Linked DNA regions of Arabidopsis thaliana. The protein of the gene in region 1 interacts with the protein of each later gene in a pairwise test. Each region holds a gene or a part of one and is shown on either strand. Other genes may lie near its edges.

Region 1 (13,643 bases):
CATATGGATGCTGGGTAGGTATTTTCTTTACGCTAAAGATTGATTGTTATCTGAAGGAATGAAACAGACGAGATAAAAAAAACTTGCAGAAGATGGAAACTGTAATTTCTTTCAAGGGTTAAAAAGTCATTCGTCAGTCAACTGCAACGTCTAGTTGTTTCCATACTCGGTTTCAAACAAAAGCTGACATGCTTCAGAAAACCTATCCATAGATTCAAGCTTCTCCATCATCATCTCCTTGATTTCAGGTTGTAAGGTGGATTTTGAAATAGATTGTCACCGTCTTTAAACACCTGGATATGCTTGGGATATATTCCACTAATTCTTCTCTTCTTCTCTTCCACCGTAGTCTATCAACTCAAACTTCTCTAGACACGAATACAAGCATTCGGGATAAGAGCCCCTATCGCTCTGAAAGCTGATGCGATAGGGGATCTATCTGTTGATCTCTGAAAAGTTTTGACATGGTATTAGCAATAATGCTAGTAAGTAACCACACGTCAGCAAGTGTTTGTGCTGAGTCTTAAACATACATTTTAGGCTCAATACTGAAAACTACACACTAAACGGAATTATTAGGCTGGATACAGAAACTACACACTAAATGTAGTTAAGTGGTCAAGTGATCATCATTCTTCTAACTATAACCTTATTATGTAGACAGGAAACAAACCGATGACCTTATTCGTCTAAGCTCATAAGATTATAATATACATAAAACGCATTTGAAATCACGAATCCAATTTGTAGTTAATCCAAGCATATGTATAAACAAGCGTTTTAATGATTTGTTGTGATATTATGGATTTCATGTTCACAAGTTTTTGCAGTGTGATACAGAGCCGATACGTTTTGTTTAGGGTTTGATCAGTGAGTCGTGACAATAAAGTTTTGACAAAGTTCAGTTTTGTTTCTAGCTTGTGAATTTTTGGTTAATTTAATTGACCATTGAAATGGAAAGATGGCTTGCTTGTTTTGAATCTCTCTTCAGTTCAGGGTGTTTTGTTTAGCTAAAAGAACTTATATTATTACTGGTACAAAGAATTTAACAACATCAAAATCTTAGCCAAGGAATCTAAACATCTACGACACATATCACTAAAACCTCTGCAACTTGTCAGCTCTGATCAAAGGCAACTGTGTGGCCAAGGCGAGCCGTCCAGATTGTTTGTAATCAAAGGGACAAGAATGCTCCTCCGGATAACGATGTGACCCGCAAAACATGTGTCCACATCTACACTTGAATCCCAACATTCCTACCTTCCTCTTACATATCCCACATCTCCTTTTTTTGACCGGTTCTTCTTCAACGGCGGGACTATTCGTAGGAGGGCAACACTGTGATTGCTCGGTCTCGGGTTCGAATCTTAAAGCGGGCGAGTGTTGAAGAACACTCTTTTTGTAGCAGAGAGAGCATAGATTGTTGTTCACTCGGGTGCCGTAGAGTCCACAGCCTCCCTCGCATGGTAATGCTTCTGTTTCGTTCACCATCTTCTTTCTTCTACTTCTTGCGATAGTTGTTATATGAGAGTCAATATAATTCAATATTTTGTGTGAGCTCTATCAATGACTCTAAAATCTAAATATATAGAGGATGTCTATTGTTCTTAGTTCTTCTGGAATTGTGTAGTGCAATTAAGTTTCCCTTTTTTAATACAATTCGGTAAGTGTTTCCTCTTTTGTAATAGTCATCTACGTTCGATAAGTGTTTGCTAACGATTCTTATTGCAAGTTATTGATTTTCCTTTCCTCATATAACTAAGAAAGGAAAAGTTACAATAGAAACGCTGAGAGATATTTCATAATAAGGAAACTGAGAAGACGTGTTTAATCCTCTTCGAACAGTCATAAATCCAATAAAGAAAAACGTTGACTAATGTAAGAAAAAAAAGACAAACCAAATAAATAACTAATCCAACTTGATGATAATTTAGACAACAGCAGCTTCCTGGTAGTTTCTAAAACGTCGGTTCGTTTTCTAAATACAGAAAAGAGTTGCGTGCCGTTTTCACTATCTTAAGGAGTAATTAATTAGTTTCAAGTAAAATACCAAATTAGACAATTCCACATGGTGATCTTTGATGGCCTCCCCACCACCGCACGTGAATTTGGAATACCTTGTTTAGTTTCATTATCAAATTACACCTAAACGCGTTACTAATTAAATTATTTATTGTCTATCAAAAAGCCACGCAACAACAGTCTAGCATTTAAATCTTCACGTGGGTCTAACCCGGTTCCGGTTTCATTATCCGGGTATATGTTTTGGCTTCGTCTGAATTTGAATTTGAGTTTTCTCATTCAAAAAACGATAAATAAATAAAATATTGGTCAGTTATTCTTTCTATGGTTCTTGTTTGATATAGAAAGAATAACAGGTTTTGGATTTGTCTGTGTGTTTGGACTTTGGATTAGTATTCATTCGGTTTAACCAATCAAAATTCGCAACCTTAACACGTTATAAACCATGATGTAATGATTTAATCAATGATCAATTAAATGTATAGAAATTTATTTTCCATTTCCGCAACAGCTCAAAACGTTTTCTCTCTTTTCCGATTTTAGTCTAAAAACTGAAACAAACACAAAAAGCAACAATTTGTCTTTGAAAATCTCCTCTGTGTATGGTTCAGCTTCGGTTTACTAAATCTCTATGCCGTCACGATCAATCTCGGCACCGGTTCCGGTTCTTGCTCCGGCTCCGATCGTTTCCTCTTTAGTCCCAGCAGCGCCGTCAGGACATCAGAATAAGACAACGCGAATCTTTCCACCGTTCGTGGTGGCTGGAGCCGGCGCCGGTTTCTCTCTTTTCATCACTCTCTCCGTCTGTTTCTGTAAATTCAGCCGGAAACGTTCATCACCTCCGGCGGAAAACGCTTCCTCTTCGCCTCGGAGACCGTCGCCACGTGAGTTTTCATATTCGTCTCTCCGTCGCGCCACCGGTTCTTTCTCGCAGGCGAATAGACTAGGTCAGGGCGGATTTGGCGTCGTGTTTCGTGGAACTATCTCCGGCGGCGAGAATGTAGCTGTTAAAGTAATGGATTCAGGATCTCTTCAAGGAGAAGGTGAGTTTCAGAACGAGTTGTTCTTCGCCGCCAAGCTTGACTCGCCTCACGTTGTCCCTGTTATTGGTTTCTCTCATGATCGAAAACGACGACGTTTGCTTCTTGTTTACAAGCTTATGGACAATGGTAATCTCCAAGACGCCTTGCTTCACCGGAGATGCCCTGAGCTTATGGATTGGAATCGGAGGTTTTTGGTTGCCGTTAACATTGCCGATGGGATTAAGCATCTTCATAGTCTTGAACCACCTGTGATTCATGGTGATATTAAGCCTAGCAATGTTCTATTAGATAGTCTCTTCTCTGCCAAAATCGCTGATTTTGGTTTGGCTAGGTTGAAAGCAGAGCAAGTGGAGATTAGTGTAGCTCCGGAGCGTGATGGTGATGGATCTATGGTTGAAGAAGTAGAGAGTGTGGTAACTACTGTGACTGGTTATGAAGATTTTAACTTTGGGTTGGTTGATCAGTCTCCGGAGAGTGTTGCTAAGGTTCCTGGGTCTGTGAGTGCTTCTCCTGAGGCGACGACGGTTGTCTCTGTTTCTCCGGAAATGGGAGAGAAAACGGATGAGGATGGTGGTAGTGTTGTGGTGATGAAGAAGGGGAAAGAGAGTGAGAGCAAAGATTGGTGGTGGAAGCAGGAGAGCAATGTTGAAAGAGGGAGAGTGAAAGAGTATGTAATGCAATGGATTGGTTCAGAGGTAAAGAAGGAGAGACCAAGCAGAAGTGATTGGATTGAGGCGGCAGCTTTGTCTTCTTCGTCAAGTAAGAAACTTGAGAAGAAGACTAGCAAGAGACTAGATTGGTGGTTGTCATTGGAGGAAGAGGATGAGAATAAGAAGAAGAAGAAGCGGAGGATGGTTAGAGAGTGGTGGAAAGATGAGTATCGTAGAGAACTCGCTAAGAAAAGGAAGAAGAAGAAGAAGATGACTTTAGAAGCCGAGTTTTGTAGTGATGATGGGAGTAGTAGTGTGAGTCAATGGCGGCGTGGTAGTGGTAGTGGTAGCAGCATAGATTGGTGGTTAGATGGGTTAAGTGGTGAACGATGGTTGAGAGCAAGGGGAAATAGCCATGACTCGGTGAGCGGTGAGATAGCTAAGAGCTGCGGAATTAGTAGCACGCCGAGCATGAGAGGGACTGTGTGCTATGCAGCTCCTGAGTACTGTAACTTGGACAACAACGTGTCAGAGAAATGTGATGTCTATAGCTACGGTGTTCTGTTGTTAGTTCTGATTTCCGGGAGGCGCCCGTTGGAGATGACGGGCTCCGCGAGTGAGATACAACGGGCAAACCTCATGTCTTGGGCGAGGAAGTTGGCGAGAAGAGGAAAACTTGTTGATCTTGTGGATCAAAAGTTGCAAAACTTAGACCAAGAACAAGCAGTGTTGTGCATAAAGGTGGCTTTGTTGTGTCTGCAAAGATTACCGATTTCACGACCGTCAATGAAAGAGGTCTTGGGAATGCTTAAAGGAGAAGTGAATCTACCAGAGTTGCCTAGTGAGTTCTCACCATCGCCACCATTAAAGACAACGAGGAAGCAGCGCCGTTGACTAATTTAGGAATCATTTTGATTATTATTATTCAAGTGTTACACCGCTAGTTTTAGGAACTTTGATTCAATTTCACTATACTTTCCAATTTCTCTTTCTATAGTTTCACACGCATTATTGACATTGATTTTTTTTTTACACGTTTATACTTCGATGTCAATATGTCATACAACACTTCTTCAAATCGGAGTTGCTCGGGATTGGATTATTAGCAGAAAGAAAAGGCTAAAACTTTTTCCACCTCCAAAAGTCATTTAAAGGTCACACAAATCCTATGGGCCTAATCAGTTAACAAACCACTTCCAATCGAGTTAAATGAAATGAAGATACCAAATTGGGTCACGTTAGGAGTCAGCAGTTTGTGTTCTTTATATATGGACATGGGCCATCTTCGATTTTTCTTATTCGTTTCTACTTAAAATCACCAAGATTTATTGAATTTTTCTTCTTATTATTATTTGGCCCTTATATAGAGTATGGTCTATCCATAATTTGGCCCAGTTTTTTAAAAATACTAGATATTTGGAACATGCATGCTTTTTATTTTTAAATGTATCAGATTCAGATGAAACTCAATTATTAAAAAAAAAATCATACATAAACAGTTTAAAATATTTACTACTACTTAATTATTTTCGGATTAAGAAATCCCTTATAACATTTCATAAAACATAGTATTCTGCATTTTTTCAAAAAGTTGTTGTAATGTTTAGAAAACAAATTGAAAATGCAACAGTTTTTAATGAATAAATGCAAGGCGTTATAGAATGTTGGTTTGTTTTTCATTTTAAGTGTTTTTCAATATTTTAAATAATAACAACAACAAAAATCATTTGCTTTCGACTAGAAACAATGACTTATATCATTGCTTATACGAGTGCATGTTACAATCGTATGTGGCGGTTAGTCATCCTACTTGGCTCGATCGATGGTGTATTTGCTGAGGAAAGGGCTTTGTGTTCTGATTAAATTTGAGTTTTGATGGTAGTATGGCTTGAGTAAAGGTTGAGGATGTTGTTTCATTTTCATATGTCTGGCTCTTTCACCTCTTTGGTGGGTATGTGTTGTATCAAACAATCGTCTCTTAATACAATACCAGTTGACAAAAAAAGAGCAGTAACTAATTCTTATAAACTATAGTACATTATTTCCTATATATTTTATAACATAAAATAAATCATATTTTCTCATAATTTAAAGTGCTATTCAATGATTTTTAGGAATACGATCCAGCATATGGCCTTGCAGTCTATAGTATATATAAAAATAATTATATGGTACCTATGTCAGAGATATCTAGGATATATAGTAGATCGTCGTACAATTGATATATCATATAGTATGTGTATACAATAAGAAAATAAACATATAAATTGTACGATCTCTAAAGAATACTTTAAAAATGATAAATATTAAGATATGGAATGTTGAAGGGAACCTATTAAAAAGAGAAGAAATTAATGATGAAGCAGAAAGACGTCATTGCTTACCCTAACAAACCTCTCTCTCCATCTTTTTCCGATACGTCTACCAATAACTTAGTATTTTTTTCTCTTAGTTTTTAATATTATAACCAAACCCTTTTACTATCTTTTTTCCGACTCCCATATCTTTTTTTTTTCCGACTCCCATATTATTCAACTTTACAACAAATCCCTGACTAGAGCAAATCCCAGAGCACAAGATCAGATCCTTCTGTCTCATCATCATCATCATTATTATAATCATAATTACAAGAAGAATCGTTGTTCAAAATAATTAACGTATAACGACTTCTAGATGAATAATTTTCAGGAGAAGAAAAGAAGGCGTAGTAAAACGCCGAGAGTTTGTAATAACGAAGAAAACATGGAGAAGTTAGTACATAAAGAAATTGAGAAACGAAGGAGACAAGAAATGGCTTCTCTCTACGCGTCTCTCCGCTCTCTTCTCCCTTTAGAGTTCATCCAGGTCAAAACCCTAATTACTCTTGCTTTTAATTTCTTCCTCTTCTTCTTCTTTTTTTTTTGTTAAGGAAAAAGTCCACAAGTATGCTTTGTCGCTTAGTTTGTTAAAAAGATTCACTAGAACTCTAACACTCTATCATCACAATATCTCAAGTTGACCTCTACACCTTAATTACGTTTGATTTGGTTTTGTAGGGAAAACGTTCAACGTCAGATCAGGTGAAAGGGGCAGTGAATTACATAGACTATTTGCAAAGGAATATCAAAGACATAAATTCCAAGAGAGATGACCTCGTGTTATTGTCTGGACGAAGCTTTAGGAGTAGTAATGAACAAGAATGGAATGAGATTTCGAATCATGTCGTGATTCGTCCGTGTTTGGTCGGCATAGAGATAGTGTTGAGCATTCTCCAAACGCCATTCTCAAGCGTTCTGCAAGTGCTTCGTGAACACGGTCTCTATGTTCTTGGCTACATCTGTTCCAGTGTAAATGATAGACTCATTCATACTCTACAGGCTGAGGTACAATATCTCGAGCTTACTAACTTTACAGCAATCGAAGCATTACTAACTTTACTAAGAATATAGAGAAATACTTAATCATAACATATATTTCTAACTAACTTTACTAAGAATATAGAGAAATACTTAATCATAACATATATTTCTAACTTTGTTAATGTTTTCGATCTTGTCGGCTTACAAACGCGTTTATGTCCTAATTTGGAATGGAATATAGAATATAGCATACATCTTCTTCATAGCTTTTTGGAATGGCTTATTGTATCAGAGTAATGAATATATATGTTTGAGTTAATATGTGAAGTTGATTTGCCTTATGTTGAGTTAATATGTGAAGTTGATTTGCCTTATGTTGCAGGTCAACGATCTGGCTTTGATCGACTTAGCAGACCTTAAGGATACACTTACCCTGATGAAGTAATTCAAATAATCAAACGTTTTTTTTCAGTAGATTCCTTTTAACTTCTCAAACCAAAACGATGTATATATATGGTTCTTAGTACTTTTACTGTGTATTTATCTAGCTACTTTAAAGAATTTGTGCGTAAGAAACTAATGCTAGCTAGCTTTAATATCACAACCATCTCTTACATATTATATAAACTATGGTCCATCTAAACTTTTTCTTTATCATTGATGTTTTGACTATCTTGTTTATTCACAGAAAAAAATCTTCATTTTGAAAATTTGATTAAATATCTTATGAAAACAAATTATCTTTCAAGAAAATATATTAGTTTACTCTATCTTTTGTTCATTAGGGACAATGACTATTATTTTGAGGATTACCGCATGAGGCCTTCTTATTTCTAGACGTCTCTGCTCCTATATATAAGTCATATAACATTCTTATCTGAAGATGTACGTAATCTGTCGAGTTAGGATATAATTAAGAGAATGGTGGAATTTAATTCGTACACATAGAATTAATGGTATAATTAATTTACTATTGTTGGTGTGAGTAGCATCAAATAGATGATAGAATAGTATTTTGAACAAAAATTCTGATAGATAGTATAAGCCTTCAAACTAAAATTGTTTCCGGACGAATACACGAAAAGAAAAATGAAATAATATTAACTTTCTAAAAACTCATCGATTGATGGGTATACACAAAATGGTTAAAAAGAAAAAAAAATGATTAACAGATTTTGAGATTATATAATACTGAAAATTTGAGTCGGAAATTGATTTGCAATATGCAAAAGACAAGAAACATGAGGCAAAGGAAAAACCATTTTTCAGAGAAATCTAAACATGTGAAATTCGTTTTTCTAAAAGTAACAATTTGCGAATTTATCAGCGACGGATATTTTTTAAAAATAATATGTAATGTTTCTGTTAGAAAGTACTTTTGGTTGACAAAAAGAACTGTTACAAACTTACTTTGTTGTGTACGCACTGTTACAAAATTATCAAATTTGAATCTTGAAAATGGTTAATTAGGGTTGTGTGATACGCACTCCAGATCTGTAATCACAAATTAGCTAATGACTATAAAGTCGATGCAAAAAGTAAAACATAGGGAATGTATATTATATGCCGCTTAGTTGAAAACCGCTACATATCTATGATCGATTTAAATATTTGAACTCTGGAACTGTTGACTTTTCTCTTAGACTTAAATTTTGGTAAACAATTTCAGCAACTAAAATGAGTGAGAAAACTTGGTTGTTGAAAAAAAAAGAGAGAGTGAGAAAACTTTGGTTTAGTTTTCTACAGTGACCAGCTTTGGGGTTTTGGGCGGAATTAATTAGCCAAGTAGGGTCTAGAAAATGTGATCTTTTAACACATGGCCAAAGTCGTTTATATTTGGTGATTCTGTTTAAAACTCACAATTTGTTTTTTTCTTTTCTTAAATTTTGAAATCATATCTATTTAGAACTAAAGTTCATCATAAATTTTGATGACCCTAATAAATAATATAGCGTCAATATAGAGAACTTAGCTGGAGATATATTGTAAATATGTTGTTGTAACGATCTATTACGAATAACTATTGAAATACAATACAATTATTTAAAAGAGCAATATATAATTGTATAATTTACCACATCATTAGGATACTTCGCCCCAAACACATATTTTAATTCGTTTGAACGAACTTAAATAAAAAAAATAAAAAAAATCATTGGTTAAAACTTTTTATTGCAGAAATAATTGGTTGTTACTGTAGAAATAGCGGCTTCTATTCGCAACCGTCAGATATACAAGTCTAAAGAGATGTCTTTAGTTTAGTCGTGACTCCTACAAGGCATGTGTGTACGATCGCCTGATAGGGAATAATTTAACTTTGCATAATCCATATTTTCCGACAATCATCGAGTTGACATGATTCGACATTTGGTCATACACGTAAATATAACAACGTGCTTCTAATTTTAATTTTATAAGATTAAAACTATCAGATAGTACTTTTTGGGATATAGGAAAAATGCATCTCATGTAATAAAACTATAGCAGAAACGTGTCTTAAAAATAATTTACATAATAAATAGTTAACTTGTTTTATCATGACTATAATATGCAAACATTATTGCGGTTGTACGCATGTAATAATATTACTGTATATAAACTGTTATATACCAGCTCTTATAACTTTAAAACTCTATCCATTTTCTTAACGTAATGTATAGTATAAGTGAATGAAATTTTTCTCTTTTTACAAATTTATCTGGTTTATAAAAGTTGCTAATATCAGGCATAATATGGCTTATGGCGTATATTGAGCATATCAGCATACAACACACATCCCTAAAGAAAAGACTTTGGTCAAACATCCAACGAGATTATCTTTTATAGTATAGTGGCTCTTAATATGCGTATATACATATATATAAAAAACAAGGGATTCGTGACAGAGAAGAAGGATTTGCTTTGCCTTGAAAGGATAACCTTTACCAAAAGGATTATTTTTTAATAATGGAAACTGTGGAGGGATGTCATGGTTTTTATATTCAAAGCATATTATATTGAAATAGTATCTTCTTAAGAACAGTATATCTTTAGCATTATATATCTGATACGCAATGGATATGGACGTTTAATAAACATGTGAAAAGACTAGTTGCAGTGTGAGCAGGTGCAAATAAAAAGAAAGGATCGGAGCCCACATGCGACCATCGCAACATCATCAACGGTTGAGATTTGAGGTTTTGTTTTCATGTATCCGAATCTTAAGACATGGTTGCACTTTCACGTCGACATTTGTCAAATAGTTATATTCTCCAGTTCCTCCTAGTTGTATGAGAATATAATTTTGTTTTAGAGAAAATGTGCATTATGGTTTTTTTTTTTTTCCAACAGTTTGCGTTTTAGATACTAATTCTGTATTTCATGGAAAGAGATGGATTCGCAATGGTATTTCACATAAAGGAAATTTTGTGTTGGATGATGGTATGACAAAAGCTGTTTGGAGGGTATAAATTATTAAGTTGACATTAATTTCAAAAATTTATAATTATGTGTTTTAATTCTCTTAATTAAATAAACTGTAGAGGATTTTATTTTGTTATGTATATATATTGACTATAAGTTGTATTCTACTAGTTTGTTACAAATCAAGCCCGAGGCTCATCCCATAAATGAAATAAAAAAAAACTGATAACTATTTCAATTTTATTTAAAAAAAAAAAAAGAGTAATTCCGTAACCTGCATTATTTGGTCCTCCTACTGTGTATCTATTTAATATTTAAATAATGGTCCTCCCTCTCACCTAAGGAGACATAGAGAACCATCTGGTTCTTTAAGGCACCATCATTCAACAAGTAAACAATAAAGGAAATTAAATTATCACAAGACAGAACCACAAAATCCTTTGGAGATCTGACACTGGTAAAGCTCAAAGTGTCAAACTATGGATCCTTATAAGAATCTTAATCCAAAAGGTTACCAGAGACAGAGACCGTTTAGCTCAGCCGGCGAGAGTGGCGGCAGCGGCGGCTCCGGTACGGCCCATGAAACAGATGACAATAAGAAGAAGAAGAAGCTTCTCCACCGCGACATCGAACGCCAAAGAAGACAAGAAATGGCTACACTCTTTGCTACTCTTCGTACTCACTTACCTCTTAAATACATCAAGGTTCATATTCTTAATTACTCACTCTTTTCTCTCAAATTTATTTACTTTTTCGTTATATCAATTGTTCGAAGAAACCAAGATTTGGTGAGATTTGGCTGCTAGGGTTGTGAATATGTCGTTTTTTGTATTTAATTTAGTTTTGTATTTAATCTTTATTTATAGGGAAAAAGAGCTGTGTCGGATCATGTAAATGGAGCGGTAAATTTCATTAAGGACACGGAAGCACGGATTAAAGAACTTAGTGCAAGAAGAGACGAGTTAAGTAGAGAAACCGGCCAAGGATATAAATCGAATCCGGATCCAGGAAAAACTGGATCCGATGTAGGCAAATCGGAGCCGGCGACTGTGATGGTGCAACCACACGTGAGCGGTTTAGAAGTGGTAGTGAGCAGCAACTCCTCAGGCCCCGAAGCTTTGCCACTATCAAAAGTGCTCGAGACAATTCAGGAGAAAGGGCTTGAAGTCATGAGCTCCTTCACTACAAGAGTCAATGATAGGCTCATGCACACTATTCAAGTAGAGGTATGGTTGGTTACAACATGTCAACATGCCATGTCAATGGAAGTTAATCTAGGGTTTCATTACATTTAACTATATTCAATACAGGTTAATAGTTTCGGATGCATAGACTTATTATGGTTGCAGCAGAAGCTAGTTGAGGATTTGATACTTTCGACGGGGTACTAATCATGCAGAAACATACCATTCGTAGTCCTAAAGAACTTCCTCATCGTATGATCTCTTTTACCCGAGCTCTTCATTCGTTATATGAGCTTAGCTAAATAGAAACTCATTTCCAAATTATTGTCCTTTTTAGATGTGGTATTGAAGCCTTGCATGTTAGTGGATATAAAACAGTATTTTTTGTAGATATCATATGTTTGTTGCTCCAATTATTGTTTTCTTGTTCATGAACTTATATATACTTAGAAGTTAAGAACTAATGTGAAAGTCATATATAATTATAAACACTAGAATTTCACATGGTTCTAGTTCATATATCAATGGAAGACTAATATTAGCAATGTTCGATATGGTGTATTTTTGTTCATGTGTTTTACAACATTATAACTATGGTTGATGTTCTAATGAACTAATCTCACCGTATACTTGATGCAGAAAAAATCAAAGTCTTCTTGAAATTTCGTTATGAGAGCAAGGTGCATAGGTGTTAAAGTTCATTCATGGATTGAGGTGTAGCTTTGGTTTAAACAAGTTCAAGTGACTTCATGGGGTAGATCATAACTTCACCATGATTCGCCGCCGTAAAGACCAAGGGTCTGATGTTTTCAGTAGAGATTTTTTTTTTCTCACGGGCAAGCCATTTTTTTGTTTCCCTTTCATTATAACATTTTGTATCACTCCATTGTTAGGTTTTCTTGGGTTTTCTCGTATGGAAAATAAGTTTTTCTGTAATACATATCCATGAATCATTTAGACCTGTATTAGAAGGAAAATCCGGAAGGGCATAGTAAAATAAAGGCCAATACAATAGCATAATATATATATATCGCCTAGTTCTAACCAGATAAGTATGAAGCAAGGGTAGGTGAGAACCATCTTTTGGGCTCTATAATAGTCAGAATCTGCTAGGTTGTTTCTAGCCTACTATTCTCTACGCTATCAGTACCACATTGGTGAATTAGATTTCGATATTTTATGTGAATTGTTCACACATAAAACTGCGAAAATTGAGAAGTAACATAACTGTTATCTCTACGATATATATCAAAGATGAGAGACTATATATGAAGTAGTAGCACTAACCTCGATACAACCAATCCTTTGGGCGATTCGAAAGTGGTAAAATAGAAGTTCCAAATAACTAACAGATGGTAATACTAACCAGTAACCACACAATAAAAGATCGTTTGAATGTACGTGCATGAGTTGATAACCCTAACACAAATAAACATACATACAAATGCCATCACTATTTTGAAATTTTAAATAACTATTTAATTCATAAGCACAAGGCCTCACATCATCAAATGAGTAAATGACATAGCAAATGTGAAGTCAGACAAATTATTTATACAAGATTATGATATTTAATTACGATATTTTTTTCGGAAATAAGAAGCATATTACAAAATTGCCATAGATAAAAGCCTAAGATTCAATGCAGAGAACCACCTTTCTATTTTTAAATCTTGAATTTGCAAAATCTCACTTTCTTTTGTAGTTCACGATACGACACAGTATTATACATATCCCCAGAATCTTGGTTTCTTTTCTTTTCATACGTACCCATAAGCATATGAACAGATCGACCACATATTATTTAATAAAATCTCATTACTTTAGATCTAAATAGTCACTTTAATTAATACATGTCACGAACTTAAGCGAAGTTGACAGTAGTTCAAATGTTTTAAGAGATACGCATGATGAGTGGTTAAGATCTCACTAATATTCGTTTGATATCTTATATCATTATTGGTAATTTAATTAATTATCAACTAGGAGTCTTATTTTTTAATT
Region 2 (18,328 bases), on another chromosome or scaffold:
GAATGCTTGGACTTTTAATGAGTAATCCAACTTTAGGGTTTGCAGAATTTCGTTTCGAATTGCACAATTTAGGGTTTCTCTTCTCCCCCCTCTTAGATTTCGTGAATGGGTTCATCTTTTCGTTATCGACTTGGTCTCAAGTAATATTCTTTGTAGATTGACCAATGTTGTTCTTGCTCTATTAGCGTTCTAATTCGATTCTCGATCTTGTTCAAAAGCCTAAAAAAAATAATCAGTGTGTTCTTCTATTGTTCTTCAATTGAAAACGAAGATACTAGTAGAACCGGTCGTAAATCAATTCTATTATCTGGCCGGTTATCTATTTTAGTTCTCTCCAGAAAATTTTCAAAATTCTAATTAGTGGCAAATGAATGATCGACGCGTGTATGACAGCGCTCATCGAGAGGACCCACTCTGTGCGACCATCTTTGTTGTCGTTGACGTATTGGTAAGGATTTGGGCTTTGTGAGAATCACGGGCTCATTTGAATGCATAATCTTATTAATGGGAATTTTGGACATCATGGTACTATTTCGTCGAACACGACGAATTTAAGGTTGACTTATCTTTCTTTTTTTTGTCAACGAATATAAGATTGATATTTTTAACAATGCATAAGTTAAGATAAGAGTTACAATCTTGTAAGATTAGGTTAATAAAGTAATTATGTTATCTAAAAATAGTTAGACACGCATAGCATTTGTGGTATCAAAAATTCCTCTGCACAGAAGAAGAAATGTCTCTGATAGCAAGTGAGGAGACAGGCTGCTCTCTGATACGGGATAAGAGGATGGAGGTTTGCTCAGTTGCAATATCTAGCCTCTCCTTCGATTTAGCCGATTCTGAGACCAGAGTCGAAACCAGATTCTGCAGAAGCTGAACTCTCTCTCCATGATCCTCAGCGTTACTTCTGAACGTCTTGCTAAACGACGTGCTGATCCTGCGCCACCTAAGTGGAAGATACCTATCAGGGACCTGAAAACAGTTTCCTGTGGAGAGAACACGGAGTGCGTGCCTGCAGAGAAACCCAGAGAACTCAAACAGTTGGCAACTGCAGCTTATGATGCCTTCTTGAGGAACCCAATACACTTTTCTTCCTCCATCGAGTTTTGTGTGGTGCCTCACGAGATACCCCTCATCCATCTGGAACGATGCGTAGTGAGCAGCAAGCACAAGCTGTTCTTGGAGCTTGGAGAATGCAAAAGGAGTGAGCACCGAGGCTGCGTGAGATTCCATGGGGGCGCCAGTTTTTAGGCTGATGTTTTGGAGATTCTGCTGCATTGTTTGCTGTTCTGTAGCTTGGTCTTTAAAATCCACAACAACAGCCACCTGCATATTCACCCATAACTCAAATAAGCAAAAATAGCAAACTCAACACACGTACAGTACCATTTCATGAGATTAAAATGCATAAACCCTATAAAATAAATGCTTGAACAATTACTGCATAGAAGGCCTAAGAGCTTGAAATAACTCATTTCACTAGCAATGAATAAACACTGTCAGAAGGAGAAGAGAACATACTTGTTCTACAAAGTGAGCTAGCCGGGTTTGTGCGCTCAAGAACCTCTGAATAAAGGCGTTAATGGCTTTGGATCGGCCAGTCAAAGTCATTCCAGCTAGAAAATGGCTTCTCAGGTATGGTAAAGACCACAAGGAACGTGAGGCATACAAGTTGTTGATGTGTCTGTTTGTGTGCAGTCCAAAAGAGTTCACCATGTCTCTCCAACCCAACTCAAACTCCTCAACGGATTCCAGATGGTAGAGGCGATAAAATTCAGCTTTCCAGTCGTTGTACCGCTCCCCAAGACCGGCATTAAACCAGGATGGAAACTTTCCAACAACCATCCATATGCAGAGTGCATGCTTAGTGGCTGGCATCTCTCCAGCTATGGCTTCTTTGAGACACATATTATGGTCTGTTAATATCGTTTGAGGTGCCTTCCCATTCATGAACCCTGTGAATGCCTTCCATAAGAGACAAATTAAAGAAAATGTCAGAGTACAAACAAAATTGATTTGCTTTTTGGATATAGGAGCTTCTACAAATAACTTCTACAACAAATACAAATTGATTTGCTTATTCGCCCTACCCACAGACAATTGCCAAGAATTTTAAACAGAAATAAGTGGACAAGGAACTTAATCAGCTTAGTGTGCCACAAACCTGTAGTGCCCATGACCACGATCTCAAATTTTCATCCCGTAGAAGCACACAACCGAAGAAGCAAGGGACACCATAGTTATTAACTCCAACCCATATTCCAAGTGGCATCTCAACAGCACTTAAGCGATGTGTTGTATCGAAAACAACAGCATCTCCAAAGAGTTCATATGACTGAATGGAAGAAGCATACGACCAGGCAATATTTTCTAACTTATCATTTGCATCCAAAGTAAACTCGAACTTAAAGTTAGGGTCTTTCTCCTTTATGCTTTGGCACATCCTCAGGAAATCAATGTTCTCATCCTCAGGATCGAGTTTCTTGAATGACTGAAGCAAATTCCTGACATCCTTTTCGGTGAATGGTAAAAATCCTGGCTCGACACACTTCTCAAGCTCCAAGAGCCTCATCATCTGCTGAACTGAAATTCCTGTCTTGGAAAACATCAAAATCCGACTTTTATCTGCATCTGATATGGACCTGTACGCAGGAAGAAAACGAACTTGGTTTGGTTCTAAGAGCTCATGATTGTGGTGATTAGCAAAACCAGTAACACGCCATTCCGTTGAACCTAACTCAGTAAGTTTACTAATCCTTAAGTATGCTTGACATCCACATCGAGAAGACCTTCTGTTTCTCTGTGGTTTTCCTTCGCTTAGAGTTTTGATAGGTGTGTTACCAGCACGGTGACAAACAAAGTAGCGCCTAGTAAGTCCTTTGCCAACTCCGTCTTTTCCTTCTGTCCTGTGACGGCGTATGGAGAACCCGCAACGCTTTGCAAATGTACTATAGAACTCGTAAGCAGTATCATGTGTAAGGAAAATTTGTCCGAGATAGGGAATGGCATTGTGAACTGCTTCTAAAGAGAGATTGTTATCGTCTGGAGATTCCTCAGTACTACTAGCATCATCTAAAGACAAGGATCGCTGATCTGAAGGATCATCATAGATGAGCAACATCTGTCCAGGATCATCCGACATTTAGCTCCTAAGGTATATTCAGCACTTTGCCTGACAAGCACATAACAACAGCACTTATGAGACTCTGTAACATTACTATCTACAATAACCAGATAATCTCCAATGAAGTGCTACATAATCTGTAACAAGCTTTTAAACTCATGAGTACGAAGCTAGAAAGATTCAGAATTCAAAAATTTCGTATAAAGATTGAATTTTCTAATGTAATTAGGAGCTTTCGAAGCTAATTCAATTCGAATTTTCCGAGCTAAGCACATTTTGGATGCCGATAATGGCAATTACAAGATAGGGTTTTCATAGTTTCTGAAGAAATTTGAAAGTCGCTGTTTTCGAAAAGTTTGAAATCATCACAAGAACATAAGCTTTCAATAAAACTCGCATGATTCGAATTTTCAAATATGTTCATATTCTGTTAAAAAATGACTCCTTGATACACAAATGCGTGAAGAGATTAGAAACAGAGAAGTTGCAAGAGATAGAGACAGAGAAAGAGAGAGTACACTGATTTAAGCTGGCGAAGAGAGTCTTGCGAAGGAGAAGCCCTAATTTGCGCAGGCAAGTGACAATAATCCTTTCCTTTCTCCTACGCATCTTGTTATCTTACGCCTCTTCCCTACTCGTATTTAGAACAACATTACACGTACTACCAAACAGCCCCCATTTATCAATACGACGTCGTTCGGTAATTTTCATTTTTATTATTTTTGAATTGCTCGCTTCTATCTGACCAATTGGCTCTAAAGTGGATGAGCTGGCATTCTCGGGCTCCAAAACGCTCCAGCGGTTAACCAATGTAACGATTGGAGTGTTGCTCTTTGGTATATCTTTGCCTCATGGAGGATGGCACATGCATTCTCATGATACACTAGATCAAATCATCTTCCCAAAGTTTTCTGTAGTTCTCATACGCATGTAGTTGCAGAAGCTTGGTGTCTGTTTCATCAGATGCAACTGCATGGAGCTGAAGCATTTCCAAAAACCATCCCAGTGATCAGATGAAAGAGAGAGAATGGAAGTAGAGAGTCAAGAAGACAAGACACTAGTTTTGCTTACATGCTTAACAAACTTCTGAACTAGCTTGTCCAATGTGAAAAGAACATATGACTGTGCTCCAAAAATAGCTCGGCACTCATCTTCAAACTTTGTATTGTCGTCAATAGAACCGTCAAGTAAATTATAGAGTGCATCCATGAACCTAGACGTGTTATGCTTTGAATATCAGTAAGGAATCGTTTTTCAAGTAAAGCTATTAACTTGGAAGATAAATCTGTTAGAGTAAAATTCTTTTAGAGGTAATGGAGAAAGTGTTTAAGTGTTTTGAGAGAGTTTTTTAGGAAATAGAACTTTTATTACTTTGCTTTAAACTTGAATACAACTTCACAACCTTGCTTTGGATGATTTATACAAGGTAGCCCTCTCACCATTTCCTTCCTTGAAAGCAACTCCAATCCTCCAAAATTTAGATGTCCGAATCGAAGATGCCATAGCCAAGACTCCTCTTTGTAACACATCTTAAGACATTGTGCAATGTCATTTCGAATGTTGAGGACAAACATTCTATTTTTCGACATTGGCACCTTGGTAATGAGATTGCTTTCTTGGTCTCTTATTGAAAGGTTATTATCTTTTAATCTAATATCATAACCTTTCTCTAAGAGTTGTCCAAGGCTCAAGATGTTTGTCTTCATGCTCGGAATATAGTAACCGTTGGAAATAAATTGATGATCTCCATTCTTCAATCGAATAAGAATGTTTCCTTTACCTTTTACCTCCATCTTCGATTCATCTCCTAAAGCCACATTTCCTCTCACCGATTCATCAAGCTCCGCGAACATACTTTTTCTCCCGCACATGTGATTACTTGCACCACTATCGAGGTACCACTTATGATTCTCTTCTTGTTCATCTTTCTTGTAGCTAGCCATTAATAACATGTCTTCTTCTTGAATTTTTTCTTCAACGTAGTTGGCCTTCTCCTCAAATGTTTTGTTGCTAGGAGCTTTACATTCAGAAGCATAATGTCCAAACTTCCCACAATTGTAGCAAAATCACCTGGGATAAGAATCAGGTGTGATTGTCAATAGACTACGAATGGTTAGTGCTCCAGATCTGCCAAATCTCACAATGAGCAAAGGAATGCCTCTGCGGCTACAACTGATTGTTTGTGTCTGCTTATATGCTCCAACGATTTGTTTAACTTATATGCATACCATCTCAGTTTCCTGCACATATCCAGCTAATCCCATCTGCTCTTATATCTCATCAATCAACAAGAAAGCTGAGTGAGACTTGTCAGCTGCAGCAAACATATGGTCTCGTTTATTTGTCCGTCTCGAACTTGTCCCAGGACATATTCATACATGCTAGGAAATCGGCTCCAAAACCATCAGTCGCAGCAGCACTCGGGGAACTCTGTGAATCCGCCGCTGTATCTGAGATTTCAAATCCAAAACCGGAGATAACCATATCTGAATAGAACCAAATTGACCGTAAAAACACAACGAACGACTCCAATAACAGTATTCCGATTCAGTAACCCAATTACTGACATCCTCTCGCCATCGCCTAAAAGTAAAAGTGAACATTTTTTTTTTGTGTATTAATAGTTTTAATTTCATCAAAGCAAAAATTGTTTTTGGAAAAAAAGGCCAAAACGCTTCCCTATGCCTAGCCAACAAATTATGGGCCGGGCCAGATGAGGCCCGTTTAATATGTTCACGAGTATAAATTTAGAGCATGGTTATAAGTGATACTCATAAAGTATTATTAAACATTTTTTAGTATTATTTATTATTTAAATTTTTTCAATGATTTTTAATGATCTTTTATGGTTATAGATGATACTCATAAAGTATGGGTATATGTGATTTTTTAGAATTTTTTTTTTCTCTGTTTTTTCCTGACGAATCAGTTGCCGTCACGTCACTCGATACTGGGTATTAGAAGTATCATTCCACTCTGATCAGGTCCAACTGTATACTCTGATCCATTAAACAATTATTGATGGGCTTCTGATACTCTGATTATATCAGCTATGTACATGGTCTTACCCCTTTAATATCATTATATATATCGTTACATATCGTATGATCAATCCCTTCTTGTTTCTTTTCCTGATAAACTTTTCTCCACAAAAAAATGGTTTCAAGCGATTAAGATTCTCTTGTCGTTACCCAGATCACCACGACGAAAACAGTTCACAAAGGATCTTCCAAGTTGTTCTAGTTCATTTCGCTGAAGTCTTTTTGTCGAGAAGCAATCACTACCGTGGAAGAGAAGAAGAAGAAGGTCACCCCAAACACCGATCTCATCAAGATGAAAAACGAAGATAACGCCAAGGATATTGCAAAGATTTTCCCTCTTTATATAACATAGGGCTTTGAGGCTGTCAAAATATGGGGCATGGAGATGTTTAAGAAGAAGATGAACAAGAAGTAAATCATGATTTGTTCCATGTAAAGTTCAACAAATTCCTGTTTTCACGTTATATGAGCATCTTTTCATATAAAATTTCACATATATCTTTAATACTGTTAATGATCTTTCTTCAAAAACTAGTATGCATGCAGTTCGAACATTTTCGTATAAAGTTTCAGTTTCAAGAAAGTTTGATTTTTTTCTTTATTATGGACTCGTTTTGAATATGAGTCAATACCGAGTTTGAATGTGATGCCGAGTTTTTCATAAAGATACTGGAACTTTTCCAAAACTGTTATTTACTTCCCGGACCCATATCTGCAATTTTCACAAAAAGCCTATTATGGTCCTAAATTTTAAACCCCACGATCACACCTTTATTGTATCATCAGAACCCACGCTAGTTTTGCACTCACACAAACCACGACATGCATGGCAAAATTTCTCGACTTCTTCAAGTGATATTTCCTCACTAGGATGGAAACTTTCCAACAACCATCCATATGCAGAGTGCATGCTTAGTGGTTGGCATCTCACCAGCTATGGATTATTTGAGACACGTATTATGGTCTGTTAATATCGTTTGGGCCTTTGAAGGAGAAGCCCTAAATAATCCAACCTTTCTTTACTTGTCTTTGGAATAACATTACACGTATTACCAAACAGCCCTCATTTAAACACTACGACGTCGTCCTTTAATTTTCATTTCGACATTACTTTTTAATAAAAGTCCCATTTCTTCACATCCAAGGGTTTAAGCCACGAGCTCGCTCTCTCTACTCCCACCATCGTCATTGGTTTCGTCTTCCTCTAACCTCTAAAACCCTAAATCATTTTCCCTCCACCATGTCTCTCAGTCACCTCCTCCGCCGTCTCTGTACAACCACTACCACTACCCGTAGCCCTCTTTCCATCTCGTTCCTCCACCAACGCATCCACAACATCTCACTTTCCCCGGCAAATGAAGATCCGGAGACGACCACTGGTAATAATCAGGATTCAGAGAAATACCCAAACCTTAATCCCATTCCAAATGATCCTTCCCAATTCCAGATTCCTCAGAATCACACCCCTCCAATTCCCTATCCACCCATCCCGCATCGTACCATGGCCTTCTCTTCAGCCGAAGAAGCCGCTGCTGAGCGCCGCCGCCGTAAACGTCGTCTCCGAATTGAACCTCCTCTCCACGCTCTCCGTCGCGATCCTTCAGCTCCTCCTCCAAAACGTGATCCCAACGCGCCACGGCTTCCGGATTCAACTTCCGCTCTCGTCGGCCAAAGGCTTAACCTTCACAACAGAGTCCAATCACTGATCAGAGCATCAGATCTCGACGCTGCATCAAAGCTCGCTCGCCAGTCTGTGTTTTCCAATACTCGACCTACTGTCTTCACCTGTAACGCCATCATCGCCGCTATGTACCGAGCCAAGCGTTACAGTGAATCGATTTCTCTATTTCAGTATTTCTTTAAGCAGTCTAACATCGTCCCCAATGTAGTCTCATACAATCAGATCATCAACGCTCATTGTGATGAAGGGAATGTCGACGAAGCCCTTGAAGTGTACAGACACATATTGGCTAATGCTCCTTTTGCTCCATCCTCAGTTACTTATAGACATTTGACCAAAGGTTTGGTTCAAGCTGGAAGGATCGGAGATGCTGCGAGTTTATTAAGGGAGATGTTGAGCAAAGGTCAAGCTGCGGATTCCACGGTGTACAACAATCTGATTAGGGGATATTTGGACCTTGGTGATTTCGATAAGGCTGTTGAGTTCTTTGATGAATTGAAGTCTAAGTGTACTGTTTATGATGGGATTGTGAATGCTACCTTTATGGAGTACTGGTTTGAGAAAGGGAACGATAAGGAAGCTATGGAGTCTTACAGGTCTTTGTTAGATAAGAAATTCAGAATGCATCCACCGACTGGTAATGTACTTTTGGAAGTGTTTCTTAAGTTTGGTAAGAAGGATGAAGCTTGGGCTTTGTTTAATGAGATGTTGGATAATCACGCTCCTCCGAATATCCTTTCGGTGAATTCGGATACGGTTGGTATAATGGTCAATGAATGTTTCAAGATGGGAGAGTTTAGTGAAGCTATTAATACATTCAAGAAGGTCGGAAGTAAGGTCACCTCCAAACCGTTTGTGATGGATTATTTAGGTTACTGTAACATAGTAACAAGATTCTGTGAACAAGGGATGTTAACAGAAGCTGAAAGGTTCTTTGCTGAAGGTGTATCTAGATCTTTGCCTGCTGATGCTCCAAGTCATAGAGCAATGATCGATGCTTATCTCAAGGCAGAGAGAATTGACGATGCTGTCAAGATGTTGGACAGGATGGTTGATGTGAATCTACGGGTGGTTGCTGATTTCGGTGCAAGAGTCTTTGGTGAGCTGATTAAGAATGGTAAGCTCACGGAATCTGCAGAAGTTTTGACTAAGATGGGAGAGAGGGAACCAAAACCAGATCCTTCCATTTATGATGTGGTGGTTAGAGGTCTTTGTGATGGTGATGCACTTGACCAAGCCAAGGACATTGTTGGTGAGATGATTAGACATAATGTTGGGGTTACTACTGTGCTGCGGGAATTCATCATTGAGGTTTTTGAGAAGGCAGGACGTCGTGAGGAGATTGAGAAAATTTTGAACTCTGTTGCCCGGCCGGTTAGAAACGCTGGGCAGTCTGGTAACACTCCACCTAGGGTACCCGCAGTGTTTGGAACCACACCTGCAGCTCCGCAGCAGCCTAGAGACAGGGCCCCATGGACGAGCCAAGGAGTGGTGCATTCCAATTCAGGTTGGGCCAATGGAACTGCAGGTCAAACAGCAGGAGGAGCTTACAAGGCTAATAATGGCCAGAATCCCTCTTGGTCCAACACGTCTGATAACCAGCAGCAACAATCGTGGTCGAATCAGACGGCAGGGCAACAGCCACCGTCATGGTCGAGACAGGCACCGGGATATCAACAGCAGCAATCTTGGTCTCAGCAATCGGGGTGGTCAAGTCCTTCAGGTCATCAGCAATCATGGACTAATCAGACAGCTGGCCAGCAGCAACCTTGGGCTAATCAGACGCCTGGTCAGCAGCAACAGTGGGCTAATCAAACGCCTGGTCAGCAGCAACAATTGGCTAATCAGACGCCTGGCCAGCAGCAACAGTGGGCTAATCAAACGCCTGGCCAGCAGCAACAATGGGCTAATCAGAATAATGGTCACCAGCAACCGTGGGCTAATCAGAACACTGGTCATCAGCAATCATGGGCTAATCAGACTCCTAGCCAGCAGCAACCATGGGCTAATCAGACAACCGGCCAGCAACAAGGGTGGGGAAATCAGACAACCGGCCAGCAACAGCAGTGGGCTAACCAGACAGCTGGCCAGCAGTCAGGGTGGACAGCGCAGCAACAGTGGTCTAATCAGACAGCTAGCCATCAGCAGTCACAGTGGTTAAATCCCGTGCCAGGAGAGGTGGCTAATCAGACACCGTGGTCAAACTCTGTGGACAGTCATCTTCCTCAACAACAGGAGCCAGGGCCTTCCCATGAGTGCCAAGAGACACAAGAAAAAAAGGTAGTGGAGTTGAGGAACTAGTTTGACAAACTCGCTATTTCTTCTGCACCACCATTCTCCTCATAGTTAATTTGGCTTTTGCTTTGTGGTTCCTATTTTTTGCAAACTCTAGTAGTTATTTCTTTAGGATCAACATCATAATCTACTACGTTCGTTGCCCTTGCTTCTTCACTTGTATGTATGGTTCTTTTGAAGCCAATGGCTTCTAAAGAGTAATGGAATTCAAAATCAGTAATTCGATCAAAACATTAAATTCCATTTCTTCCAAAAAGTGATCAAAATGAATAATATATTCGTAAATCTACAACTAGATTAGCTCTGCAGGTCGGCAGAAGCAAAACTCTTACATACAAAAGGCTTGACCATTACGATCATCTCTATAAAACCCCAAATAATGAAGAGATTATAACCAAAAGAATAAAACTATATAAGAAAGAAAAAGAGTCCTATGTTATGTATATTATATATCTCGTAGAAGAATCTCATCTCATCCCTATAAAAGAAGAAAGAAGAGGAGAAATGAATCAGTTTGTTTTTTCTCAAAACCCCAGGACAGTAGAGCTCAAATTCATAAGAGGAGCTAAGGCAGAAGGAGAGAACTTGCGAGCAAAAAGGAAGCATAACGAAGTTGGCTCTTCATTGTAAAGACAATCCGTCTCGTTTTTCCTTATAGATTGGAGAAACCCTTCTGTGATATTAGCTGCAGCATATGTAGCTGGATGGGGACCGCCTATGGACCAATCAACCCATGTCACGCTTCTATTTGCGTTCATTGAACCGTGAAACATGTTCAAGAAAGTAGGGATGTAATGCTCGTCTGGGTAACAAGCTGGTCTGCAGAATTGTTTGAACAATGAGTAGTATTTCGAGTCTGAGATGATGTAGATGGCGATTTTACGGTTTACTTCAAACCACTGAGACCCTTTGCGCCAGTGATGGAGTTTGATATCCGGGAGCATCTTGCGGCTATAACGGCCACGGCCATAACGTGTTGGCTCATCATAAGAGTCCACAAAACTGTAAGCAGAGTTTATTAGGTAAGTGTAGACAGTTGAGAAGTTGTAAACTGGGACACAGCTCTCTGAGAGAAGAACAAAACGCTCATTTGAGAAGTCCAGCAATGCATTGGCTAGAAGACGCTTCTCTGCGTCTGTCAATAGTGGGGATCCCCATTCAACTCTCTAAAAAATTCAAGTATAAAAAACCCATCAGAACCAGACAGAATTCTTTAGATTTTTTTATCAAGTAGATCTAGCATACAATGACACAGACCATCCATGATTCATCAGATGACCAAGTTGAAGAACCAAACAAAGCGTTATGCAATTACCAGGATCATTGTGACATACAGAGAAAATTAAAGGGATTACTACAATAAAAGGTGTAAAAATCAACAAGAGAAGCTTATATAATGTGTCTATGAATTAGTCTTTTATAGTTTCCTAGTTCACAGCTAAGCAGATCACAGCTAAGCAGATCACCTCTATAATAAAAGCTGTTCCCGATCATTAAACTAAAACCAGCTATGTTCCAAATAATCACATAATAGCAAAATTAGTAACAAAGCTTCATCTAATACACAACCTTGAAACAGATGTAGCTGACAGTGGAAGAAACAATTAAAAGGTTCAAATCCTATAAACAATCTCAAATAGTCACGCGCCAGTGTAACTTGGATTCCATCATGCCGATTAGATCTACATGTTGTTCCTCTAGAGAACTAGATCTCCATGATCCAGAATGACTATATTTCTTATCTACTTATCTATTACTCTGTTCTTGTATACAAGATTAAGTCACTGGTGAAACTAAGTATTTGTTTTGTTCTGATCCACTGAAGAACACAAGCAAGACACAAAAAGTTCACTGTCCTGCATCAAAACGTACCTGGCTGGGGATCTGGCGGTCGTAAAAGGGAGAATCACGAGAGACATTCATGTCGTATCCAGGAGGCGTATGAACATAAACGGACAAGTACTTTTCATTGCCTTTAAAAAACTTCTCCCAAAGCGGAAGCATAGGTAAAGGCCCTCTCGTCAGAAACATAAACGCCACTTTCGGAACCCTATCGTACGGATACTCTTCCTTCACCGGAACCATCGAAGCTCTCCAGAACAACTCATCATCAGTCATTCCATGACTCAGATTCTCTGGCCGAACAAACCCATCAATGCTCCAACAATCTCGAACCTTTGGTTTCTCCGCCTTGACTCCTCCGTCGTCGCTCTCGTTGTCGTCGTTACCTGTGCAGTCTCGGTGGATGATTGTGCAATTGGAGTAATCAGGAGTCGAAAAAGGAATCGATTGGAGGTTAGTGGTTGATGAGAACATCCTCGGCAAAGAATTGAAGTAGCGATCGATGTGAGAACTTGCGGCGAGACCGATGATGATTCCAGCCATGAAAATTAGCAAAAACGACAGCGTTTGCGCCAGCTTTAGTAACCCTATGTGTTTTTCTCCTTCCTCTTTCCCTCCTCTCGCCATTGTTCGAGAAACTCAAAACTTGTCTACCCAAACAACAACACAGTGATGATCTCTGTTCCCCAAAAATAAAGTTTCAGGGAAACATTCTTATGATTCAAAGAGAATCTGATTGTTTCAAGCACAAATCCATTGCATTCAATCTCCTCGAGAAATTTCCTAAATTTGTAACATATAATTAAATCCAAGGATCAAACGAAATCGAAAAAGGTAAGTGGATAAATGGAAATTGGATCTGTGGAAATCTTCGAGGAAAGTGAGAAACGATGACTGAAACAGATCAGAAACTGAATTTCATGCAGAGAGGAAGAAGAAGAAGAAGAAACATAAACAAATCTGGTCTTTTGTTTCTTCCAGTTGAAATCTATGTGTGTGTGTGGTTGATTTTGATCTTATATATATAAAAGAACAAAATTAATTGGAATGTTATGCTTAATTTAATTAGATTAATTGAGTTTAAAACTCCACGTCGAAAAGCATAACGAGTTCAAAGTCCGCAGATCTTGCCAGATGGGAATAATCTATTGGTTTTAAGTTATTGGGCCGGAGGGCCCACGTTTAATTGTGACGTGGTTTAGTGCTCGTCAACTCTTTGGTCCGACATTTCACTTTTTTTTTTATAGAAATAATTCTAGATATCCAGTAGTCAAACTTATTGATTATCTAATTTCTATATCCTTACTATTTTTAAAAAAATTACTTTTAACATTTCTAGAATTTTTCGATTTTTTCTGTACTTATTAACTATTAGTAAAATTTATTGATGCTTCTTTTGGTTATGTTATAGTATTGAGACAATGTATTGTATTCTAATTTTGATTTTTTTTTTCCTTTTTAATGATTTGTAGATTTTGTTTTTTCATTATTATATTTGAAAAAATATCTTCTTATATCTTAATCACCAGAAAATCTAAAACCGATGGCTATACTAATTTCCGGAATATATGAAATGTTTATTTTTCTATTAAGGATCCAAAGCAGCTAATTAAGATTAAAAACTTGGGAAGAACTAGTATCCCAAACAAACAATATGATATCCAGATGTCCAAAAGGAAAAAGAAATGGTATCAAAAGAACCAAGAAATGTGCCTAGAAATTTCATATAGTTAGCTTGGAAATTTCTGATTTTTATGTCCAATGTTTATTTATTTTTTCCTTATAATTATACTTGTCATACATCACAAAGAATTGTCAACATTGCCAAACTAGTCCTAAGATGTTGGAAGGTATGATGATAGACAACAGTTCTAAAGAAGGGAAGATGAGATTCAGGCAACAAAAAACACATATAGTTCAAAAAAATTAGGTTGGTAGGATCAATTATTCAAAAAACATACACCAAATAGATTTTAGTAGGGGTTGTTTGTCCAAAAAAAAACTATAATAGTTTACGAAAATAGTTACACCTTGTGAATAGATTTTTTGTTTGCCTTCCCTTGAGGTAAATTATGTCGCGAGAACTATATGAACAACAACGAGATCCACAACAACATTTGATTACATTTTTATTTGAACCTTCACATTGATTTAGTAATGTGGGATTCCAACATCATCTAATGTTATATGAATGGATCTAATAGATGATAAATTGTTAAATGAACTGATAATTTTTTTTTATTTTTTTATGTGTATTTCACATCACATTGTTTTTTTTTTTTTTTTTTTAAGTAAGAAAAAGAAGAAGCACTTGAGACCGATCAGAAAAAAATTAGAAAGATATGATTTTTGTAAGTCTTTTGAAATTTGAATCTTGTCCCGTGTAATTGTGAAATCTTACGTACGTCCTCTTTATGACCTCGTCTTCGCTCATTTCTGCCTTCCCTTACGAAATCCCCAACGAAAAATCTTAGCTTAACACCATCGCGACCGGATTCCAAATTCCGGCCCATCGTCTCACCGGGAAAGACCCCGCCTATTGCCGCCGATTTCGGTTCCGGTCTGCTCAGATCTAATCGAGTGGCTTCCTTCTTCCTCCAGATCTCTTCACTTTGAATCGGTTACTCGATCTCGATTCGCGGAGGGCTTTTGCTAGTCGCGATGGAGGCGATCGATGAGTTGTCTCAGCTCTCAGATTCGATGAAGCAGGCGGCGTCTCTCCTCGCCGACGAAGATCCCGACGAAACCTCTTCTTCCAAGCGCCCTGCCACTTTCCTCAACGTCGTTGCCTTGGGAAATGTGGTGAGTTCCTCGCTCTCACTCCACGCTCCTCGATTTTCCTCTCTTTAGGCTCGTGCTGGTTTTATTCTGTGTTCGAGTGTATGTTGGATTGCCATATCGTGGATCTTCTGGATCTAGATTAGGTTTTTATCGAATTTTGCTAGGACACACTCATCGTTTATAGCTAGTTTTGTTGGGATTCTCTTTATTAGTGGATATATGGTTACATGAGGAGCGACTCGTGCCGGAGAAGGCTGATGTATTTTGTTATTTGTTACTTATCTCTTTTTGCATACTGAACCAGGGAGCTGGAAAGTCTGCAGTTCTAAACAGTCTAATTGGGCATCCAGTGCTGGTAAGTTGTACATTGAGTCTATGGTTATTATTGGCTTACTCCTTTTCTTATACTAATACTGACCTCTGTTGTGTCTGCTACACTTACTATACACAGCCGACGGGTGAGAATGGTGCTACACGAGCTCCTATAATAATTGAATTGAGCAGGGAGAGTTCTTTGAGCAGCAAGGCAATTATCTTGCAAATCGACAATAAATCTCAACAAGTTTCTGCAAGTAAGTCTCTATCTATGAACATATGCAATTTAGCAATGCTATGTGAGGCTCTTTCTGCATTTATGATAAAAAAATTTCGATCAGTCTTCTCATAATATCTCCATTGTGTTCTACATGGGTATATTTTAGGTGCTTTGAGACATTCTCTGCAAGATAGACTTAGCAAAGGAGCCTCAGGGAAGAATCGTGATGAAATAAACTTAAAACTTCGTACCAGCACAGGTAAGCCCCTTTTTACTTGCACAATCATAAGTGGCAAGCCTATATCTACTCTTCAAATAGCACATCCTTAGCTAACCTAAGTTGGGTGTATGAATTTATCTTTGATACCCGTGAACTGGTCAGCTGTAATATCTTGCTATCCTTATATACTATCTAGTACACTAGTTTAGAGCTTCTAGCTTTACTTTGGTGGGTATCAGATTAAATATCTAACGGAGCTTTAACATAAACAGTACACACTCTTTTGAACATGAGTTATGACATATGACATATGACCGACAGTTTCGTAGTATTAAATTTTCTTTGACCATCATAACCTGTTACGTTTACCCTTTACATTGCAGCTCCACCATTGAAATTAGTTGATCTGCCTGGACTGGACCAGAGAATTGTGGACGAGTCAATGGTGAGGCTTGGAACTACTTAATGCCATTGTCATATCCTTAACTTGCCTGACAACCACGAAACAAAAGATTTTGACTATTTTTATCGGTTTCCTACTGAAGTGATAATATAGATTCATTATCATGTTTATCCTTTTGAAATTGTTGTTTGTTTCTTGGGTCTCTTTGCAAGATTGCTGAATACGCGCAACACAATGATGCCATACTGCTGGTTATAGTGCCTGCTAGCCAGGCATCTGAAATTTCATCATCCCGAGCCCTGAAGATTGCAAAGGAGTATGATCCAGAGAGTGAGTACATCTGTATTTCCGATCTGTCTTATCTTAATATTGTTTATTATTTGTATACCTGATAAGAACTGTTGATTTACCTACCTATTATCACTTCAGTTTGCTTAAAATACTCATTAGCTAACATCACTCCTCCCTACTTATAGGTACTAGGACAATAGGCATTATTGGAAAAATTGACCAGGCAGCAGAGAACTCGAAAGCCCTTGCAGCTGTTCAGGCTCTTCTTTCAAATCAAGGACCTCCAAAAACAACTGACATTCCATGGGTTGCTGTTATTGGCCAATCCGTTTCAATTGCGTCAGCACAGTCTGGAAGTGGTGAGAACTCCTTAGAAACTGCTTGGCGTGCTGAGAGTGAAAGTCTTAAGTCCATTTTGACTGGGGCTCCACAAAGCAAGCTTGGCAGAATTGCGTTGGTGGATACCCTTGCTAGCCAGATTCGTAGCAGAATGAAGCTCAGGCTTCCAAGTGTCCTGTCTGGGTATTGCTTCTCTCCATATATGTGCTTTCTTCATGATTTTTATTATGGTGTTGGCATATGACATTGGTTGCTTGAACGCATATGGCTTTCAAATTCTTTGTACAGGCTCCAGGGTAAGTCTCAAATAGTGCAGGATGAGCTAGCGAGGCTTGGTGAACAACTAGTTAACAGTGCTGAAGGTACAAGGGCTATAGCTTTGGAGCTTTGCCGTGAGTTTGAAGACAAGTTTCTTCTGCACTTGGCTGGTGGTGAAGTAAGTACATTCTTACAAAAGTTAACTAGATTTAGTCGAAAATTCAAGAATATAGTGAGAGAGAAGAACTCTTCAAATATTAGCAATCAGCCATTTCAGATTTGGTACTAGTGTAGTGGAAAGTCTCTTGCTAGCCTACGCTTGGTAAGAGCACATTATATTGTTGGGAATCTCATGAATCTGATAGTGGATGTTTATAATATGTGTATAAGCCAACTGAGTGTTTGATATAGAGTTTTTGTACTTGTCTGTGTTCAGTTTATGGGCTGAAGTCCCTTTTGGAGCTTGGCAAATGTTTTTCTCAAAACTTTTTGATTCTTGTTCAGGGAAGTGGTTGGAAAGTTGTTGCAAGTTTTGAAGGAAATTTCCCCAACCGTATCAAGCAGCTTCCATTGGATAGACATTTTGACCTGAACAATGTTAAAAGGGTGGGTGTCTTCTTCTGTCCTAAGTTTCTGCACGAGACAAGTTTTGAGACTTGATTTGTCAAAATATCTTTGATTTTCAGGTTGTTTTGGAGGCAGATGGTTATCAACCTTATCTTATATCTCCAGAGAAAGGGTTGAGATCGTTGATAAAGATTGTCCTTGAGTTGGCTAAAGACCCGGCACGCCTTTGTGTTGATGAGGTGTGCTTGTTTACATGTTTTTTTAGGTACATGCAGTAGGATTGAATTTTAGAAATTTACTGCATTGTGAACTGGCTATGGCTTGTCTCACTTTAATTCTTCGAACTGTTATTTAGAGTTCTGTCAAGTTTTCTGGTTTATAAGCCTTAGTAAGTTAATATCCCTTACCGTAGATGTAGCTATTTTTTGGTTCCTACTTTAAAACTCATGCATCCAGCTTCTGTCTTATTTACGTGTTGAGCTAACATGGTCTTAACTTTTGATTAGGTTCACCGAGTTCTTGTTGACATAGTTTCAGCTTCTGCAAATGCTACACCTGGACTTGGGAGATATCCTCCTTTCAAGCGAGAGGTAATAATGATTTTTTGGTGCTTTATTCAGTAATATTTTATCATTTCGGTAACAGTTATTCCTTTCTGACTAATCATCAACCAGGTTGTAGCTATAGCAAGTGCAGCACTTGATGGTTTCAAGAATGAAGCCAAGAAAATGGTGGTTGCACTAGTTGATATGGAACGCGCTTTTGTACCACCTCAACATTTTATCCGTCTTGTGCAAAGGAGGTATTTTGGCTTGTCTTTCTTTGCAATTTTTGTTTTTATTTTCAATGGTTCATGACTGAAAATTATTTCTCTTTCTGACGATGCACTGTATTGACTCCATCAGAATGGAAAGACAACGTCGCGAGGAAGAGCTGAAAGGGCGATCT

The links.
Region 2: the proteins of SAP10 (region 1) and FRS11 interact in binary tests that used the Arabidopsis thaliana proteins (3 or more experiments, as listed by UniProt).

Annotation. Positions count from the first base shown.
Region 1 is NC_003075.7:12,974,838-12,988,480, forward strand, and holds SAP10 (stress-associated protein 10), read right to left. Parts: upstream 1,802-13,643; 5' UTR 1,492-1,801; coding exon 1,099-1,491; 3' UTR 1,011-1,098; downstream 1-1,010. Other genes in the region: AT4G25390 (Protein kinase superfamily protein), read left to right, coding at 2,654-4,609; AT4G25400 (basic helix-loop-helix (bHLH) DNA-binding superfamily protein), read left to right, coding at 6,389-6,559, 6,751-7,143; AT4G25410 (basic helix-loop-helix (bHLH) DNA-binding superfamily protein), read left to right, coding at 10,935-11,159, 11,322-11,681, 11,766-11,846. UniProt on the Arabidopsis thaliana protein: May be involved in environmental stress response.
Region 2 is NC_003070.9:3,356,127-3,374,454, forward strand, and holds FRS11 (FAR1-related sequence 11), read right to left. Parts: upstream 3,728-18,328; 5' UTR 3,646-3,727; exon of another isoform or gene 3,176-3,645; 5' UTR 3,146-3,175; coding exon 2,168-3,145; intron 1,969-2,167; coding exon 1,525-1,968; intron 1,330-1,524; coding exon 709-1,329; 3' UTR 501-708; downstream 1-500. Other genes in the region: SK18 (E3 ubiquitin ligase SCF complex subunit SKP1/ASK1 family protein), read left to right, coding at 1-25; AT1G10250 (paired amphipathic helix Sin3-like protein), read right to left, coding at 4,011-4,106, 4,199-4,336; GRP23 (glutamine-rich protein 23), read left to right, coding at 7,409-10,150; AT1G10280 (Core-2/I-branching beta-1,6-N-acetylglucosaminyltransferase family protein), read right to left, coding at 10,669-11,310, 12,017-12,613; ADL6 (dynamin-like protein 6), read left to right, coding at 14,648-14,788, 15,072-15,122, 15,219-15,339, 15,469-15,561, 15,906-15,967, 16,138-16,255, 16,402-16,738, 16,844-16,991 and 5 more. UniProt on the Arabidopsis thaliana protein: Putative transcription activator involved in regulating light control of development.